Linked DNA regions of Lonchura striata. The protein of the gene in region 2 interacts with the protein of the main gene of each other region in a pairwise test. Links are inferred from orthologs where the notes say so. Each region holds a gene or a part of one and is shown on either strand. Other genes may lie near its edges.

Region 1 (6,283 bases), on a different chromosome or scaffold from region 2:
ACAATTTTACCTCTGTGTCCCGCTCCAGTTTTGCCTGCTGGTTTTCCTGCTATAGGGAGCCTTTCAAGGACTACAGGTTTTCCTTCCAGATAGTTATTTTGTAACTTCACCTAAGAGAGCCTATGTGTAACATGACAGAGGCAGTGTCAGAAAATAGCCATATTAAAACTCAGGAGGAGATTGTACATATCCAGCCTTTACCAGTTCAGCAAGCATACAGCATGGAAGTTTTACTCCCAACACATTAATTCATCCCATGTCACAGATCAGGTCCCTAAAGAATCGCTGGACCTGTGTGCAACTGTTCCTTAAAGAGGATTTGCCTTCAACAGCTCAGGAAATATGGACAATAGAAGAGCGCAGCAAGATACAGGAAGGCAGTAGACACCATGAAGACAAAAAAATTCAGACAGACATGGTTCAAAAATACATGGTTACATTTGCTAAAATTAACACCTAAAGAAAAAAGGTAATCAGTATTCCAATTAAATATTTCCAATTAAATTTCTACAGAAACCATTCATTCACTAAAGCCTTTGAGGGTCACTGGTGCTTGGAACCAGACGTAGTCCTCCCAAGCAGGTACTGTGTGCTGTGGAGGTGAGGCACTAACATGGAGGTCTCCATCACAGGACAACTTAACAGTCAGCTTCCTCCCTCGGGTCGGCACTTGGTAGTTGAGCTTGGGCCGGAACCACTCAACACCACAGTCACGGTGGCCCTGGACCAGGACAAGAGTGACTGTGACAGGGAGAGCCTTAAGTTCACTAAAGACGTCAGCAACAAACAGGCGGTGAAAGAGCTGGCGAACACAGGGCGCAGTCTCAAGGCTCTCTTCAGCAGAGCCCTCACAGAACCCTTCCAAATTCAGCTCATAGAGCTCCTTGGGGTTGATGACATTGCCTCCAAGTAGGAAAAGAACCCGAGGAACTAGCGTCAGACTAAACATGACTTCCAGGTGCTGGAACAATCCCTCCAGCTCCATCAGCAGCTGCTGGCACTTTCTGCTTGCCAGGCCCAGGGAATGTGGTTTCCCAATTCCAACTCCATCCTGGAAGACAAAAACTCATATTAACACAGTTAGTTATGAACATGTATTATATGCTGCAGAAAGCATGGCCCATCCCAGAGAGTCAAGGAACAAGCAGCTTGTGTTCATTTTGAGAGCTACAGGTACCCACATGGGGAGGATGCACATCTCTCCGCATCACGAAATGGCAAGAGGAACACGAAAGCACAATCCATAGCTACTCAGCTGGAATCTGAATCGCCCTACTAATTAATTCCAATAGGAATTAGAAGCCCATCTTTCAAAGATCAGCCATCTCTCTGAAAACATTTAATAGTATTTTTGTTTGGTTTTTTGCTTAGAGGTAACAAACAAGGCAGTGACACGCTTTGAGCGGAAAGTATGAAACAATCAACTGAGAGCAATTTGTCGGCACCTTCAGCAGCCTGAACTTAACGCTGCCTTTGCCTCGTTTTGAAAAGAAGAGGCAAAGGCATTTAGGGATGCAGCCACAACAAGCGCTTTACTTTAAAGGCACCGACACGTTGCTGTACGAGTCCCCGAGCGAGAACAGAAGCTCGCAAGCAAAATCCAAACGCCGCGGCCCACCCAGTCCCCCGGCCCGGGGTTGACCCGCGGTCGCCGCCCCTCACCTGGGCCGCCCGCCGGCAGAAGAAGGCGAGCTGCTCGTAGGGCAGCGGGAGCTGGTTCCGCTGGTGCAGGACGTGCTTCAGGAGCTCGCAGGCGAAGCGGCAGCCGCTGCCCCGGCACACAGCTCCCGGGAAGGCCACGGCCACGGCGGGGCCGCCCGGCACCGAGGCGTCCCCCTGGGGCCCCATCGCGCCGCGGCCCAGGCCCGCCAGCCCGGGAGCGCGGAGCGAGCGAGCGCCCCAACGGCCGCCGCGTTTGAATGCCGCCGCCGCCGAGCCTCACGGGAAGGGCGCACGGACCGCACCGCGCGCCCTCTGGCGGCGACGCCACCAAGTTTGGCGGGCGTGGCAGGGGCGGAGGTCTCCGCGTAGCCCCGCCCCTCCGTTCCCAACCCGATCCCGGCCCGGGGCCCCTCGGTTGAGGCCGTGCCGGGACCTGGGCTGTGCTTCTTTCAAGGCTATCCGCAGGAGGCGGCTCCGCTCTCCTCAGCCCCGCTCCCGGCAGCTCTGGCGGCTCCGCTGTCTTGCGGAAGAGCCGCCTTCGCGGTGCCGCGGGGTGGCGGAGGCGGGGAGCTTGCAGGGAGTGCCGTGTTTGGAAACATTGTGCCCGCCGCCCCATTGGGTGCCGCCTCCAGCGCATGGCGAGTGGAGGGCGGGATGGTGAGAGGAGCTTTTCTGAGACTGCTTTACAGGAACCGCGGCCACCTGTGTCAGTTCTACACCGACAGTGATCCAGGGTCGCTCTCCCCAGGGCATGCGGCGAGGAAAGAGAAGGCGCAGTGGCCGTGGAACTGGAGATTGGGAATACACTTAGTGAGGGGATGCGGCGCACAGCTACAGGTTCTTTTGCTGTTCCGGCCGCCCTCCGCGTTGGATCTTAACGTGGGCTTTGGGATCGCTCTGTGTCGGGCTGCTGCCTCTGCGTAGTCATGAGATACCTCCAAGGCCAAACAGCTTCGAAAGTGCCTAAGTTTACTGAATCCAGAATGACTGATCGTTCGATATCAATAACTAGGGAACCCGGGGCTGTGAACTGACAAATGGATAACCCACGGGCGTCCGCAGATCCCGGCAGCGGGGCCCGGGGAGCGGCGGTATCCCGCACGTTGTCGACCGGGGCCGACAGGCGGCGCCCTCTCCGTTGGACTCCAGCTCCCATCAGCCCCCGCAGGTAGAACCCATACGGGACCGAGCAAGTCGCGCCGCGGGGCACGCCGGGAGATGTAGTTTTGAGCAGGAGGCGCGCAGCGCGTTCTTGGCGTCGTAGGCGGGCGGGACTCGCTTTCCCGGGGCGCCGCGCGGCTGTCTGTGACGCCGGGGCCGGAGCCGGGCCGGCGGGGCTGGGCGGGGAGCGGAGCGGACGCTGCAGCGGGGCGGCGGGGCCGCGGTGTCCACCATGGACTCCCGGGTGTCAGAGCTGTTCGGGGGCTGCTGTCGGCCGGCGGGCGGCGGGGCAGGTGCTACGCTGCGCGGGCGCGGGGGGGCTGCGCCTGGCGGCGGCGGCGGCTCGAAGACGAAGAAGAAGAACGGGCGGAGCCGCGGAGGGAAGGCCAACAACCCCCCGTTCCTGCCGCCCGAGGTGAGCTCCGGCGGCCGCCGCGTCCCGTCAGCCGCGGAGGGAGCGAGACCAGGCCCGGGGGCGGGAGGGGCCGGAGGGCCGGTGCCCCCCAGAGCGGGTCGGTACCTCGGCCGGACCCCGCTGGCTGGGTCTGGCTGGAGGTGCCGGCGGTGCTGGTGCGGGCCTGTGCCGGGGTCGGGCTGACAGCAGCCGCACGGCCCCGGGAGCCGTGTGCCCGCCTGCCCGGGCTCTCCTCCGGGCCGTGCTCGCGCACCCGGTGCCAGCGAGCTCCCTGCGGGGTCCGCCGGACCCTGCCCGTGAGTGGTATCGCACTGCTTGGCGTCTGTCTGCGGGCGCTTTGCCGCCTCCCATCGAAAAGCTTCGAAAATAAAGCTTTGCTCGCCTCGTACTTCCAAGCATCTCATTTGCATCTCTCCCCGAGAGGCGATCTGCTCTGCTGGGTCTGAGCCCCTTTACAGGTGACTCCCCAGCTAATTTGACAGCTGTTTCCTTGCACAGGGCTGCAGATGGTATGGACAGGGGGTAGGGCACTTGTCTCTTGCAGCAGGAAGAAGTGGCATTGGTAGTAGCGTGGATGTGTGCTCAGCTGGGGCAGTTGTCACCGCTTTCATAGAACTGTCACTGTGGGGGGAATTACATTGGTTCAGACTCCATTGCTCGGCCCCTGTCAGTGAACTTTCTGTAAAATATATAATAGCCTGTGCTGGGAGCAAGCAATTCCTCCACAAGACAGACCTGGTACTCTTGGGAAGATGTGAAAACAGTACTTTGCTAGTGTTAGATCTTCTCCACGGGCAGGACTGTGCCCTGCAGCCGCAGTTGTTCCTTTCAGCTGGAGGCTGGAGAGTCTCTTGTGGTTTCAACTCAGCTTCCTGTTTCTGGCTACCCTGTGCAGTGTGTGCCCCAGCAAGTCTAGGCTCGTTGCTTTTCTAGTCTCAAGAGCCTTGGAGAAGACCCACTCCCTTATTTAGACGACAGTGCAGTAGGTGAATGGGTTTTGCTTAGAACTGGTAGATGGCAAGAAGGGAAAACCTGCTACAAGTACCTTTTTCTCATGGCATAGCTCTGCAGCCAGAGAACTGAGCTGACAATTGAGAACTTCTGTTGGCCTTTTGCCACTGTAAGTGCCACTGTGGTTAAGAGCTGAGCTGGAAGGCAAGGATAGGGCTGTTGCCTCTCCTGACATGCAAATAGGTGTCCAGAGGAAAAGGAAGTGCCTACTGTTGCCAGCCCCATTTAGTCTGACAGAGTATATGGCTTCCTACAGGCTCCAGCCCTTTCTTATTGGTCCTTATAGTGAATCACTGGGAAAAAAATACTTAAATATTGTATATCTAATTTTAAAATTAGATACAATTCTCTTTGGTAAGCTGGAGCCTGTTTTGGTTGAATTGAGTTTGATGAGTACCCAGACCTTTCTGTTACAACCCCATCTAGCCTTCCCTGAGAAAGTACTTCTGAACATATTGGGTACAGACAGTCCCAATCAGGTCTGGCTCTCCAGAACTTTGGCCAGTGACTAGCTAGCAAATGAGTCATTACCATGCTTCTTTATGTCTGTAGTCCTTCCTTGTAGAGAGAAGATACATAAGGATGTAGAAGGGAGTCAATGAAAAAATTAATTGAGTGAGGGAGAGTATCATTGAGCAGGAGAGGAAGCAGAAGCTTTTGTTCTCAGGCCCTTTTTCTGTGCACATTGGATGGATGGAAGCTGCTGGATAGGGTGGGAGTGGGATGCTGTGGGTGGCATTTTGTGGGTCACAGATGGGTGAGGGGTGACACTGTAAGTCATATGCTGGCCTGTACCTTTTTGAAACTGGAACTTTCTCTCTGACTGTTAGGCTGGCCCTATTCTTTACTGTTTAGAAAAAAATTTCCCCCCTGGACAGTACTACCCTTGTACCCCACTCTAGTTTTGTCCTTTGGTGTTCATGATATGGGATACAAACAGCACAAACAAATCATTTGGAAAGTTCTAGTTGAGTGTTGGAAAGAATGGCAGAAAGCTGGGATTAACACAGTCATTTTCTGCCACTTTCCCTCTCTTTGAAATCTTCAGCACCAGCTTCAGAATATATGGGCAGCTGGTGCCTGTAGAAGTCCCTGTGGGCACAGCATCTAACTCTTCTGTCTTGTTTCATTCTCTGACCAGGCAGAAGATGGGAACATCGAGTACAAGGTGAGTCTTTTGAGGTTGCAGAAGGAGGTCTTCCTGCCAGAGGGTTATTTTGCAGTGATTAACTTCACCAAAGACAGCCTATGGGTAACATGGCCAAGGAAAGGATGGAAGAGTGGACACTGCACTAAGGAACTACCATTCATCTTTTGTGTCTCTGTGCCAAGCTTTAACCAGTCTGCTGAGCTGGTAAAGCTGGATCTCAGTACTGATTTTTAGGAATCTCTTCTAGCATGTGATGCCTACTGTATTTTTCTTGAGAGAGAGATGCAGATATTGCTGAAAATTATTTGCCACTTTCTTGTGGCTGCTCTGTCATTTGCACTTATTGGCTCCTGGATCACAGATTGGTCCCAGAGTGCTGTCTTTAATCCTGCAGCAGCCAGGGTACAAATCCCTATGTCAGGATGCAGGAGAGTTCTTCTACCATATATTTGTACCTTTGTGAAACCCCTTCTCACCTGTTCCATGGCTTCTGTTCAGACACTAATACAGGCTGTGCTTTCTAGAGGTGTATCAGAGTTGGGAACATTGCTTCACAAAATTGGGCAATGGGATTGCTTCTCCATCCAGGCTGTGACTAGAACTACCCTTCTGTTCAACAGCTAAAGCTGGTGAACCCCTCGCAGTATCGCTTTGAGCACCTAGTGACACAGTTGAAGTGGCGACTGCAGGAGGGCCGCGGTGAGGCCGTCTATCAGATCGGCGTGGAGGACAATGGGCTGCTGGTGGGCCTCTCAGAGGAGGAGATGCGAGCCTCACTCAAGACGCTGCGCCGCATGGCAGAGAAGTACGTGCTCCCTTTTGTCTGCAGGGCCCAAAGCATGATTCCCTGGAGTCCCCTGAGCAGCTGGCGGCTCCATCCTGCA
Region 2 (7,072 bases):
AGCAGCAATGACCATTTTAAAGCTTTTGACTTGTTTTCTTTCTATTCTGTTAAATATGTCATCAGTCTGAGGGCTGGTTTTGCCAAATTTTTCTTAGACACTGCAAAAATGTTGTATAGTGTTAGAGAGGTAAGAAAGCAAGGAGAAAGAAGGGATTGTCCATTTATATTAGCAAGAACAGGTTATTAGGGCAGTAAAATGCCATCCTTGGAAGGAATGGGGTGGGGCAGAACCACATCTTCCTGGAGTACTCACTGTTTACTTCTGTTTGCCCTCTGTTATCTCCTGGTTATTTGGTGGTATGTGGGGAACACGAGGAGAAGAGGGAGTGTCTTTTGATAGAAATATTTTAATTTTTGAATGCAGCTTCAACCACTTGATTTTCTTCTCTCCCATTTCCTGCGGATCAGTGCTGCAGTGTAACCCTGCATTGTCTGCCTGGCGACGGCGTGACTCACATTTGCTCTCTCAAGGTTGTCTGACACCTCCCTTGGCACACTGCTCTTCCAAAGCCATCCTGAAACGTTTCCCTGTTGTCTCTTTGTTTCAGTTTGCAAGACAGTCATCAGGAAGGCCCAGGGAATCCACACCCTCGACTGACGGACCATCTCTGGATCAAGCCTTTCTCTGTCCAACTGGCAGGCGATTTTAAACCTCCCATAGCTAATTCTAGATGCCCCTTAATATTGTGAGCAAATAGACAGTCTGGTACTAAGCACTCCAGTGTTAGCACGTGTATCCCAAGGAGTTCCCTCCTCGGGGCGTGTGACTTAGAGATCGCTGTATTTACAACTCCTCCCTCCTCTTTTTTTCATTGTGTTCAGACCAATTTCCATGTGGCCCTGTTTGATTTCCAAGTGACATTTTTAGCTCAAATAGTCTTGTGATGTGGTGACTTAGAATTTTTTTGTTTTGGTTTGTTTTTTGGTTTTTTTTTTCCAAGTGGGATAAGCTGCCACCTTTGTTTCTGCCCAGTTCTTCAATGTTCTTTGAATGTCTGTTTGGAGAGGAAAATAGTCCATATTTAAAAGTGCAAAACTCTTCCACAAAATGTTCTGCTCTCACCCTTGCTCCCAGAGGGAGATATTTAACGGCAGGTAACCTGAGTACAAAATGAGGAGCAGCCAGTGGGTTCTTGGTTTGTGGTGAGTTGGGATTTGTGGCTTCTGCAGGGCATTACTTTGTTCTGTCTTAACAAACATGAATTAAAGACTGTCCAGAAGCTACAGTCAGGCCCTGTACTGGGGCATTCAGCACTTACCTGTTGATTTTCCATTTTAAGGGTCTCTCTGGCCCATGTAGCTCTGTTGTCCTCCAGCTGTGTGTGTCAGTCTTACAGAATCTTTCTTGACACATGTTGCAACTTCCTGGTTCTTTATTAAGACTTCCCATAACTTATAAAGCTAGAATGGTTTTGACTAATAATAACGATGTGATTCTCCCTGGACAAATTGGAATGTTGCAAAGGCTGGTGTGCAAGAGAGGTGTTGGCATCTGGTTATATCCAGGTGCCTGGGGTGGTGGTTCTGCTCAGCAATAATATTCTTCCCATTGCAAGACTGACTAAAGTATCTCCTTTTGTGCTGTAAGAAAAAATACTTATAAAGACCTGCAGTTTTCTAGGATATCTGTTGGTTATTATAAATCATAGAGGATACTGTTAATGTAAAGAGCTCTCGTTATGTAATGAACTGAAGTATTTACTGTAACTATCCTTATGTTGGTATCAGCTTTAGACAATCAACTCAGCAGAACAGAATCAAGGAAATGCTGCTTTCTTCAATACATATGAGGAAAAAAAAATCCTACTTCTTTGCTTATCCCCAAGGCCCAATGCTTGATTTTTTTTCCCTCCCCTAGTAGTAGTTGTTGTGGACAAATTCGATTGGGGAGGCTAATTATAGATAAATTAATTAACAAGAATTTATTAAGCAAGCGGTATTAACCAAAAGAACAGCGCTGGGCGGCTGGGGAGCTTCTGCTCTGCCATGGCGCACCTTCCCCCTTTGACCTTTTTGTTTTTATAGTCCCTTTTTTCTCCCAGTTGACATATTTTCTCTCAATGCACCGGTGCAATTGGTCGCTGGGGGGTCTTTTTTTCTGCCCTTGGTGGTCATAGGAATGAAGGCTTCTCATCTTCCTTGCAGATTGTCCTTGGCCTAAAAGTTAACTTGTACATAATTAGTTACACAGTCTTCTATGCTAGTTGCATTCCCTACTCAGTTCAAACTTTTCTCTCCTTTAACACTCGTTTTGATGAACAAAGACCTTTTTATTTATTACGGTAATAACTTTATTTTCCACTTCTGTGTTTGGCAGCACTAATGTGAAACTCTGAATGCCAAACACTCGTGGGTGTATCACCACTTTTGAGGAGTCTTTTTAGCATTCTGCAATACACTGACTCCTCCAGCCCTTCCCACTCGTGCAAGCAGGAGATCCTGAAATGATCCCATGCCCTGCTGAACAAAGCTGTGCTGGGATCAGAGCTGTTTTCAGTGTGAGAGAAGACGGGAATGCTCTGGAGGGAGAGGATGGCATTGGTTTCTGGGGAGGGGGCAGTTTATCCCTTTATTTTTAGTTTGTTATTTTGCCTTACTCATGTCTAAGTGCAATAAGCTCTGAATTGTACCAGTAACTCTGGCAGGCTCTTCTCAGTGACCTCAGACGGTTCTGCGGGGTTGGGGTGGGGTTTGAGGGGTTTTAGCAATCTCACCAGGCAGAAGTAAAACAAGTTTATTGTAAAATAGGTAAAGAAACTAAATTTTAATCTTTGAGGCTATTTGGGACCAGGATGTTTCATGACATGTTGTATAGCTGTTCCAGAAGTATTCTAGGAGTGTAGGCCCCAGTTAGAGTCCTTTCAGTTTGAAGTATTTTTAACAGAGAATTTATGCACTGACTCCTGTTCATGTTTGTTGGCTATGTTTTGAGGGATTCTTACACTTGAGGGCAACCTGAGAATACACATAGCACACTTGTTCTTTCAGTTTGTGTTATCCAAGAGGCTTTCCATCTGATGACACTAATCGCCGTGGAAGCAGATTGTAACATTCCACCATTGCAATCCTTTTTTTGATCCTCTGATTTCAGAGTAAGAGCTTTTACACAAAGCTTTCCTGATTAGTGGAAAAACTTGGAGGGAGGCGGGGGGAGGGGGGGAACTGCAGGACCTTCATCCTGAATACTCCCCCTCTGCTCCCTGCCCTTTGTTTTCCGTCCTTCCAATTTGATCCTAAGTGAAAACATCCCTCAGCCTTTGGATAGACAAATCCTGTAAAGACCCTTCAGTCTCGACGCTTGGTTCCTGCTAGTGAGCATAGCAAAGATCACGCAGCGTTCCCGTGCCGTATCTTCCATCAGCTTTGGCGAGAACCCCCGGATCTGCCGGCTCCCGGCGGGATCCCATCCTGAGCGGCTGGATGCGCTGGGATCGCCACTGCCATCCAGGCCCGCTGGGTTTGGGGCTCCAGGGGCAGCCCCCTCGGCCCAGCCTGGCTCAGGCTGGTTTGCTGACAGGGCCGCTCGCCCCTCATATCCCGCAGCCCTCTGGGTTCATCCCGCCACGTCCCGAGGGGTTCTCCGCGCTCTTTTCCTTTGGCGACACACACTTCGTAGAATGGGTTAGATTATCTCGTCGTTTCTTTAAATGTGAGTTTGTGCCTTTTTTGTCTCCTAAATCTTCCAATACAGGCATATTGGAAACGAAATCTAATAAAATACTAGACAGAGCCTGTCGCTTCCGCCTCCTTTTTTTGGGGTTTTTTTTTGGGGGGAGGCCTCGGTGCCATCATCCTAAAGGCTGCCGTGGGTCCTCCCGGCCGCCAGGGGGGGCGCGGCCGTGCCCGCCCCCTCACGCGCGCCGCTGGCGCTGAGGGCGGCGCGGAGGCGGCGCCGGGCCGGGCCGGGCCGGGCCGAGCGAGGGGAGCGCCGGGGGCTCCGCCGGCCCTTCCCCGTCCCTTCCCCGTCCCTGGGCAGCGCTTCCCTGCGGGAACCCGCGGCATGGAGCCCGCGGGCCTTCCCACCAAGGAGTTGAGGTGAGGGAGTGGGCGCGGGGCTGAGGGCGGCGGCTCCGAAGAGTGGCCCCCAAGCGCTTGCGTAAATTAGCGAAACTTGTGTGTGCGCGCTTATTCAGCGCAGAATTAAACAAATTGGCGGCGTTGCGTAGTCATATGAAATAGAGGAGAAAAGCTGATTTTCTGGTTTGGAAGGTCGGTACTGGAGTGGTTCAGGGAGCTTAGGGGGCATTTCTGGGTGTTGGGATTCCCCGGAGCTCTGTTTGTGTGTGATGAGGGCACTTCTGTCATGTCTCGAACTTGTCACTTTCCACGAGGAAGAAAAAGCTTGAGTAAACACTGAGCTTCTGCTTTTACGGTGTTTTAACGATGTGTCTTCGCTCTCTGTCGGTGTCCCGTCTGGGCTCGATTCCCTACAGAAACCTGCTTAGATGGGATTTGGGTAACAGCCTGTGACAGGAAAATTGAAACAGCCAAACTAACGAGCTGTCATGAGCTCAAATATCTTAAAAATCCTTTGGAGGCTTTACTATGAGCACTGTGACCCTGAGAAATTTCTCCGCTATTGAGTCACTTGAGGATTAGCAGCGGTGATGCTAAATAACGACTTTAGTAGGTTGCTGGTATTTAGGACAGTGTTTGTTTCTACCTCCGAGATCTGTGTTTTTTGTCAGTACTGTGGTCACTGGGCACCTTGAAGAACTGAATTTCTGTCTGTAATGACTGATGTCTTCCAACATGATTTCAGTTTTGTTTAATCAGGTAATTGTCTTACAAAATTAGTAACTGGAGAGCGTTCCCCAGTGATACATCTCCGGTGGCAAAATTAGATCTGCAGCCTACCTACTTTTTTTCCCCCTAGAAATTTGTTTTGGAGAGCTTTTGTGTGACTTCAGCACAGTCTTACAAAGATACATTATTAGTGAGGGAAATTATGTATCACTTTAATCTATTGTGGAAGGTTGTTTTCCTGCTTTTCTGTGCACATTTCTGTGCACATCACCTTGAGCAGGCAGTTGATTGTGGGATAAAAACACAGCCTTAATAATGGGTACTTGATGGGATTCACTAATTATCAGTGTTTATAAGGTCATGATAGAACTCTAAGATGATGGAAAATTAACAATTTATTATTTTTTAAGCCTGTCTGTTGTGTAACACAACTGACAATAAAATGAATCTCTTTTTAGAAGCTCTGTTACTGAAATAACCACTTTGTAAAGAAACAATGCTGTGATGTGAATGTTGAGTCAGTGGCTTTGCTTGGTTCTGATCAGAACTTTGCATGTTTTGGAGCTGGAGATTACATTTCTCCTTGCCTGCAGACAGGCACATGATCCATTCAAACCGACAATAAATTCTTTTAAACCCTGAGCTCGTCGAATTAACCACATTAAATCTATTATGAAAAAAACAATTCACTGCGTGTGGTACACCGCGATTGCAGTTTTTGTAACAACCCAGCGAGTGCGCTGGGAACACCACAGGTATTTTTTTTTTTCCCCCAGCATTGCTGCACCTACATTTATCCTTTTGTGTTGGAAGCAATGCTGAATCCCACAAGATCTGGAAATCCCTTTTCAATCTCTTGATTTTAACTGGCCGGTCCTTCAGGGCGTAGCTCCAGCTTGGAGAGCAGATGGCCTCGAGCAGCGAGGACGCATTTCAGCACTGCGAGGGGCTCTCCCTGAGCGAGCCGGAGAGCGGGGCCAGCCTCCGCAGCCGCTCGGCCAGCCTCAGCAGCACCGGCTCCAGCGGCCGCCTGCAGCTCCGCCACAGGGTGGCCCAGCTGATGGCCTGCGTGGAGGACATCAGCTCGGATGACGAGATCCACGAAGAAGTGTCTCGCACCCTGGATGAAGCTTTCCTCATCTGGGGGAAAAAGCTGAAGGATAAGCGGCAAGAATTCAGGTTTTGCTGCCTCCAGTTGGTTGTTTTCGTGGTGGTGTCGGGGCCTGGCAAAATGGATTTCTGGTTGATGGAAAGAGATAGAAGTTCTGTGGGGAAATTAGAATGTTCTTAGAGTTGGTTGCCTGTCCCCATTTCAATTTTAGCACTGTATTTTTGTGGTTTCTGTTTGTTTTTAGACTACACTTAGTTACCTGGAATGTGGGCACAGCTTCTCCCCCTCCTGATGTCACGGGTTTACTTCAGCTCAACTCGACGGGCCCCACCATGGATATGTATGTTATAGGGTGAGTGGTATTAAAGAACTTGCTTTATGAGTTTATTGCAAACTTGCTGGGTCTCAGCATGGTCTGTTTTGGGCAGACTGATGTGAATCACTGCCTGGGAGATGGTTTAACACTATTGCTACTAGAGGGTGAAGACTAACGTAGCCTAACTAACAGGGGACTAACTTAGAGATTATTTATACCAGTTAGCTGCTGCTATGTGGTGACAGAATGCAGAATATCTTTTTTCTAAACATGCAAAAATTTTGGGCTGCTGTTTTTTTTTTTGTTAGCATGTTCATTTTGATATGAAAGTTATTGGAAATTCAGCATGTTTTAAGGGAATTGGTGCAAGCTTGTTAGGCACAATCTGCCACTGAGTTTTCCAAACTAGGCTGGAATTCTGAAGTCCTAACAATCAGGTTTTTATAACACATCTTGAGTCTGGCATAGGCTTAAACTCTACCTTCAGGTGTATATAACCTCCTTTAATTTTGTCAGATGTGTCAGATCTGTGTGTGGGTTAAACTGCTTGAATGAGAAACTGAACAGAAAGAAATTTCTGAGGTCTTTGTTCTGCAAAGTTCCTATAAATTCTGTCCAAGCCAACTGGTGCAATGTGAGTAATTGTGATGTATTCAGCTTACAGGAGGTGAATTCAAAAATCACAAATTTTCTGTCTGACTTGGCATTTGATGATCCATGGAGCATTTTTTTCATGACTGTCTTGTCTCCCTTGGGATATATCAAGGTAATTATTCACACCACTCTTAAGTGTCAGAGCACTGAAGGAAAAGTCTTAATTTTTTTTCCTCAGATTATCCATAAAATATAAGTTGATGGTGTTTTCGCAGGTGTCTGTCATTCCATAGGTACACATAT

Evidence for each region. The genes of interacting proteins can lie anywhere in the genome.
Region 1: the proteins of INPP5K (region 2) and MAD2L1BP interact in binary tests that used the Homo sapiens proteins (3 or more experiments, as listed by UniProt). The link is inferred for Lonchura striata from reciprocal best matches to the Homo sapiens genes INPP5K and MAD2L1BP.

Annotation. Positions count from the first base shown.
Region 1 is NC_134605.1:36,066,874-36,073,156, reverse strand, and holds MAD2L1BP (MAD2L1-binding protein), read right to left. Parts: upstream 1,849-6,283; coding exon 1,663-1,848; intron 1,052-1,662; coding exon 521-1,051; 3' UTR 508-520; downstream 1-507. Other genes in the region: GTPBP2 (GTP-binding protein 2), read left to right, coding at 3,056-3,238, 5,391-5,417, 6,020-6,204. UniProt on the Homo sapiens protein: May function to silence the spindle checkpoint and allow mitosis to proceed through anaphase by binding MAD2L1 after it has become dissociated from the MAD2L1-CDC20 complex.
Region 2 is NC_134622.1:6,839,210-6,846,281, reverse strand, and holds the start of INPP5K (inositol polyphosphate 5-phosphatase K), read left to right. Parts: upstream 1-4,056; 5' UTR 4,057-5,655; coding exon 5,656-5,927; intron 5,928-6,103; coding exon 6,104-6,211; intron 6,212-6,832; coding exon 6,833-6,941; intron 6,942-7,072. UniProt on the Homo sapiens protein: Inositol 5-phosphatase which acts on inositol 1,4,5-trisphosphate, inositol 1,3,4,5-tetrakisphosphate, phosphatidylinositol 4,5-bisphosphate and phosphatidylinositol 3,4,5-trisphosphate.